2 linked regions of the Arabidopsis thaliana genome follow. The protein of the gene in region 2 interacts with the protein of the main gene of each other region in a pairwise test. Each region holds a gene or a part of one and is shown on either strand. Other genes may lie near its edges. The genes, in order: IAA29 and AT4G12210.

The links.
Region 1: the proteins of AT4G12210 (region 2) and IAA29 interact in a two-hybrid assay, tested with the Arabidopsis thaliana proteins (one large-scale study listed by BioGRID).

What each region holds. Positions count from the first base shown.
Region 1 is NC_003075.7:15,581,379-15,585,459, reverse strand, and holds IAA29 (indole-3-acetic acid inducible 29), read right to left. Parts: upstream 2,129-4,081; 5' UTR 1,982-2,128; coding exon 1,722-1,981; intron 1,538-1,721; coding exon 1,209-1,537; coding exon of another isoform or gene 1,198-1,208; exon of another isoform or gene 1,104-1,197; coding exon 1,013-1,103; intron 908-1,012; coding exon 832-907; 3' UTR 562-831; downstream 1-561. UniProt on the Arabidopsis thaliana protein: Aux/IAA proteins are short-lived transcriptional factors that function as repressors of early auxin response genes at low auxin concentrations.
Region 2 is NC_003075.7:7,280,636-7,283,726, forward strand, and holds AT4G12210 (RING/U-box superfamily protein), read right to left. Parts: upstream 1,285-3,091; coding exon 673-1,284; downstream 1-672. Other genes in the region: AT4G12220 (uncharacterized protein), read right to left, coding at 2,613-3,091.

The sequences.
Region 1 (4,081 bases), 8.3 Mb from region 2:
ATAATTTTCAATTTTTGTAGGGATCTTTTTACAGTTGTTTGATTGTTTCATTCATAACTTTAGTAGATCTAAAGTTGTGTTTCTCTAAATTTCACTAAAATATCTATTTTCCTTATATAAAGATTATGTTTGTCATATTATTTAATTTAAAGATTATAAACTTATGATATAATTTTATGCAAATTGTAAATATAATAACCATTTTAATAAAAGATTTTCTTATATATCATTCATTATTGATTAATATTTTAATCTAAATTACGCATTTTAAGCTAAGATCAATAATATTCATTTTAAATTTTGTTATCAGCTATTCAGCTAATTAAATTGTTTAAGAAATGTATCAGTTTTTATGTCATTTTTTTTCTGTTTACTCATGCTTTTTTTTTTCCCCTTGTTTACTCACAATTTAAAATCGTACTCCGATCTAATTCAAACCAAAATTTAATTACTTGGAAATCTCTTGAATCACATAAAGTGACATACTTACTTGTGTAAAACCCGGACGTCCGCAACCATTACATTCTTATGGTTTCTCAATCAAACAAGTCTATGAAAAAAAAATCAATTCGGTACACACAAAAAGTCTAACATCTTAATTATTATCAGCTAGTCTGTCTTTGACAATTCATGAGTTTTTTTTACTTTTGAATTTTCTTTAGCTTTTTGTCCATGTGTTAGCCATGGATCAGATAACAACAGATTATAAACCATTGGATTTGATACTAAGAACTAGAAGAATAGAGGAAAAAGATCGAGTGGAAATTTAATCAAATGATAGACATTTTAATTACAAAATAAAAAATAATGGTCCGATTTGAACGCCTATCCTTAAAACAAACATCTTGTATATGCACACGGTCGATCTCTAATTATTGATATCCGATGAACAGATTCCGCAAAGATCCTACAAAACCAAAACAACAAGTTAAGTATCAATATATAAGAAAGAGAGTATAGTAGTCATTACTCAATAAGTCATTTTTCTTGAAATATAGAGAAGTAAACTTACTTCCATGTAACATCCCCTCGAAGTAGCCAGTCACCCTCTTTCCCTTGGAAGGTGAATGTATAATTTGTATCTTCTCTGTCGCAATCTTCATCTGATAACCCAAAATTAGATTCAATAGTAGTAAAAAGTTACGTTCTATTTTCAATTGTTTATAGGTTTCTTACTCTAGATTTTGATAAACGTAATTAGTACTTACATTCGGTAAACATAGTGATCAAGGAGTTAGTGAGGGACTCGTAAGAGTTAAAAAGCTTGATATCCACTTTTCTTGCTATTGCCACACCATCCATCTTAACCTTAACATACATTGATGATCTTGATGATATTGACGAAGAAGATGATGATCCCACAGTAGCCGTTGTTGGATTAGATATGTTGTTGTTCATCGCCGTGATCCTCCTACCACGATGATGATACGGGCAATGATGGTGATTACGAATATGACGATGATGATAACTACCATACTTTATCATACATGTTTTTACTGGTGGCCATCCAACAACTTCGCTATTTTCCTCCTCATCACTAAATATTAAAATTAATTATATGTTACAAAAAAATACAAATTATGCCTCTCCATTGAGTTAACTACAAGTCTACAACATCATAACATTTTTGAAAACTACGGAGTCATTTATTATATAATAATACTAGATGTAACTACTTTAACCTAATTGTTGTCAAATACTAAAATAGTCAAGGTACTCACTCGTAAACTATTGAAGACTCGGATTCCAGAGGATCTTCGTCTTCCTCGTTGGGCTGGCCATTCAAGGCAAACAAACGCTGTTTTGGCATATAACAATTTTCCTCCACATTCCCTAACCCAAACGTCGCCTCAAAACGCAGTTTTTCGGTACCCAAACAAGACGCAGCACCCTCGATCGCACAATGCTTGTTGAGGTCAAAGTTAAACCCTAACTTGGAAGATTTATGAGGTGAAAGAGATAGACCAAGATCCAACTCCATTTCTAAGGCAGCTTCGTCTTTGATGAAACTAAAAGCTTTTGTTCTTTTATTATTGGCTTTGGAAAAGGTTGTGTTCGTTGGTGTTGATTGCTGAATTAGAGGATCATGAGTATTCCTATTTATAGTAAAAGGAAATGGGGGCAGAGGTCAAGGAGTAATATATGGCTTTATCAAAAATATACATATATATGTATATAATATTATGTACATTTTATGTAACCCACACAAATATAGATGTGGATAGATGGTATCTTAACCAACACGCTACTATTTATTCTAAACAACTAAAACAGTAATCATTCAAGTATTAGAATATACTAGTAATTTATATCGTTAAATTCTGAACTTTTAGTTCTATATCTTCTTGGCCCATAATATAGAACATATAGTTGGCTAGGATAATTATTATCTTAAAATGTTTCATAGTAGTATGTAAATCTAGACCCAACATGACTGAAGTAACGTTTCACCAGATAACTTATCTTTTTACGAATATTCATCTCTATAAGATCCAATGAAGTACGAAATCATATAGTTTAGGAAGTAACACAAAACCAATAGTCTATACCAAAAACAGGTGATACTAAACAGTTTTAGATTTTCTGATTTTTATGAATATATGAAATTTATGGCTTTCACGTTAAGCGAAAGGTAGTGAGGAAGTTCCTAGTTCTCCGAAGGAAAAAGGTCTTTTGGGAGAGAAGTAATGGCTTCCGACATTGATTAAGTTCGGGTCGGCCAATATCCCAACATTGATGCTAACACATTTTTACATTATTTTATCTAAAGTTTTATGCTTTTCTGCTTTAAATACATCTTATAAATTTTATTTTTATATTCAAGATCCACCTTATCTACACTGTATAACAAGTTCTCACCTACTTTTAATTTCAAATTTTGATCAAAACATAACATTATTACAAACGATTATATCATAAATTCCGCTCATTATATAATGAGCAAAACTTGCAAAATAAATTTATGGAAGGATTTACGGCTGCTAACTTGTGTTAGATGTGCGTCTTTAATTCATACTTTTGGCAATATGACAATCAACATATTTTAAAAAAAAAAATTAAGCATGTACTAAAAGAATGATAAAGTGCATCTATACTAAGAAATAAGAAGATGCATATTTCGTCAAGAGACACATGATTCAACGAATTTAGACATCCAACATCAAACCAACACGAATATTAGTAATAGACAAGTTTGGTTAATGTTGGAACGGACAACGTCCCATATTTTTGTTTACATTCTATGTTTCCAATAGAAAATTTGGTTTCGCACGGAAAAGGTGGAATTTAAGAATCATTGTATACAATACTATAAATGTGATACTTAAACTGATAACTGTAAGTAATACTCCTAGCAAACTCTGATTTTTCAGCTTGTCATAACTTTTGTTAACCTTTTAAGAGACAAAACTATCACTAGACATTTATAGCTTGACTCACTATACAAGTATTGACTTCATCAGTTGCAATTTTGTGGGGAAGAGTTGGATCAAATTATGAATAAGGGCTATTAAGTACGGTTTGCCTATCCTGAGGTACTTTGCTCTATATGGGAAGGAACATAGTTATTACTTTTTATAAACATAAATTTTGACAACTGTTGTTTTTATTGTAACCAACAAATTGAGGATCTTTATAGCTTATAGTTTCTTTGGATTGATTACGTAAACTAATTGAAACGACTAGTACCTCCTCCCCTATTTGACTAGGATACAATCATACAACGTAACAGGTTGAATTGCCGACATATGATTTTATTAAAACCAGTGTTTAAAAACTGATATTAGACTATCTGGTCGAACCAAATTCATTTATAAACAAAATAAAGCAACACAATTACCATGAAGACTAGAAAAATACGATAAGTAAAGCTATAAAAATATGGTGTTGTTTCAATTTTTAATTATCTTGTTTTACTCTTAATATTAGATAATGATATTTTAGCTGTATGCTTGACATTGACATATGTTTTGTTTCCATTTAAGAATAAAGCACTGTTGGTACAAGGTTATATGCTGTGTCTTAACTCTTAACACAATATTATAACTTAATCCACAACCTTTATTAAGAACTAATTTCGTAA
Region 2 (3,091 bases):
GCTGGATTTGTGGGGAAGATGGCCACTACAAAAACGACTGTCCATCTAGGAACTCTGAGAAGCCGAAGGAACATGCTTATAAAGCACAAGAAGCATCTGTTCCAAGAAGGAATAATGCTTGAGCATTTTAGGAAGAATTATACTTTGTGGGAAGTGCCAATGTATGTATCTCTGTAAGTGTCAATATTTCGTAACTTTGATTGGTGACTAGCAAATATGTTGAAGTAGCTGAAGTATTATCCAAAGAGTTGAAATTGCATAAGGATATTATAAAGACACACTGCAGAAGGACTTCATGTGAGAGGTGAAACAATCACATTGAAGAAGACACATATGAATCATGATTTAATTTCAGCAACAGCTTGATGAAGGGTTTTGGTTATTTTGTTAAGAATTTAAGAGTTGCAACTTGCAAGTGAATAACTTAAAACCGACAAAGTTTGTAGTTTTTTGTTGTGATTAAAAACTTCTCTAATTGAGTAAAACTCTTAAAAACAACAAATTACATTCAATTTCTTCAGCGTGTGTGACACAAAATTAGAATTTTTTTCTATCGAAAACCCTAATTTCAATCTTTTTCTAACTTCTAATGGAAACCATAATTTCAACCTTAATACGAAAATTACATGAAATTTTCATACATAAAACCCTAATATCAATCTTTGGTTCCAGTCATCGATCGTAGAGCTCCGTCCGACACAGGGGACAAGTGTTTTTACGCATGAACCACTCCAAGAGACAGGGATTGTGGAAGACATGAGAACAAGTCATGCGTGTGAGGTCGCTAGGTTTTGGACCGGAGACTAGATTCTCAAGACAGATTGAACAAGACTCTGTTTCCATCTTCAAACTCTTCAATTCCTCTGCTTTTATCCTTCCTAGTAGAACTATCCTCAAAGATTTCTTGTTGTTTGACGTTACCGAGACAGTCCGGTAAGTAACTGTGACGACCACGGTGATGGTAAAACCGTTTCGTCCAAAACCTAAGTCGATAGCCGCCGTTGAGATCTCTGAGGCTAGGTCATCACACAACCAATGGTGGCTAGCGAATCGGGTACGGAGAAGTGATCGGATGTGGTCGTGACTAGAACTACTGAGATTGATAGTGTCGAGACAAGATAGAGTAGCCGGAGTGGACCGGCGGGTTTGGTGATCGGTTGTTTGGTTTACAAAGATCTCTTCAGATTTGGTATCGATCTCAACGATGACTGAGTTTGCATGTGATGGAGAAGAGAGTTTCCTTTGAAGATTGGTGAAGCGAAATTCCACTTTGCGAGAATTCATGTTTTGAAACGGAAAGAGAAACAGAGAAGTAGAAGAAGAAGACTTGGCAAATCGTAGTGACTAGCGAGAGCAAATTGAGAGAGGAGAGAATTTGTGAAGCTTTAGGGTTACGTAGTGAGGATATATATACGCGTCTTCAACGTTCAGATATTTTAGGTTCTAGTTTCCTTTTTTTCTCTGTCACCTAACAATTTCCTTTTTTTTTAAGAAGTTTCCTTTTTTCCTTTTTAACAGTTTTATTTGTAGAGTTTGATTTGAAGGGGTTTTGGTTATTACTTATTAGTTTAAGACTTAGCAATAATTATTGGTAAGTTTTTAGTGGGTTCTTAAATTAATTTGAGAATAAAATTAAATGCTAAAGGATGTATTAACTTAAGAGGGCCTCTTATACAAGAGGCGAAAAATGATGGTAAGAGACGATGATGTGGCAAACTATGTGTGGGCCATGGGAAAATACAAACTTCATTCTACGAAGACTAATATCTTAAGATGTGCAATGAAAACAAATCAAAATCCTTGAAAGGCTTAAAGCCACAGAAAAGTAAATCAAACTAGTTTCAATACCTCTATGTCAAGAACTCAATGCAATCCAGAGACTTAAAAATCATACTTTTGTTGGCGACTTGATTAGATTCTGCTGGGATAATAAGCTCTGACTGCAAATTGAGGACGAATACTTTATTGAGCAACACATGTACTTCCAAATTGTATTATAGCCATATTTAGCTCAATACACTCCCTGTAACACAATATAAGTAGGTCTCAGCCTCAAAGTCTAGCTTTTTAACTCTAAAAATGCAGAAAGCAATCATTTTTTTCTCAAAAATTTGTTTTGATTATGAACTCTTAAATACCAATTATGAATCTCTTTTATATCTTTGTGTCAATACACCAAACACCACCAATTACTTCATCGCATATATTCCTTCTCTCCACAAAACCACACATAAACCAAAATCATATCTTTTTTTTTTTAAGAATCCTAACTTAATATACTATCATTGAGGATGACTAAACTTAAAAATCTTACCCAAACTCTTAACTACCAAATTTTCAAAATCTATTCCTAAATTATTGCTAAGAGCCATTGTTAATAACCTCCCATTAATGATGGTCCAATGATCTTATTTAAAACCCTTAAAAGCACAAAATTACATTCAATTTCTGGAAGCACAGAGCGAATGAAACAAAATTAGATTTGAAACCTTAATAAACAAAATCACATAAAATTTCCCCAATATAGAGCGTACGTGTGACACAAGTTATGCAATCAGTAGATGAAACCCTAATACTTTCAATTCTTAGAACAAGTCATGCGTGGGAGATCGCTAGGTTTCGGACTGGAGAGATCGTGGAAACAGATGGAACACGACTCTGTTTCCATGTTCGAACTCTTTAATTCCTCTGCTTTTATCCTCTCTAGTAGAACCATTCTCAATGATTTCTGTGTCGTTTGAAGTAACGGAGACGGTCCGGTTAGTAACTGTGACGACCACGGTGAAGGTAAAGCCGTTTCGTCCAAAACCTAAGTTGATTGCCTCCGTCGCGATCTCTGGGGCTAAGATATCACACAAAAAATGGTAGCTAACGAACCGACTACGGAGAAGTGATCGGATGTGGTGGTGACTAGAACTACAGAGATTGATAGTATCGAAAAAAGATGGTGAAGCCGGAGTGGACCGGCTGGTTTGGTGACCGGTTGTTGGGTTTACAAAGATCTCTTCAGATTTGGTTTCGATGAAAACGAGAACTGAGTTTGGTTGTGATGGAGAGAGTTTCCTTTGGTTGATGAAGCGTAATTCCACTT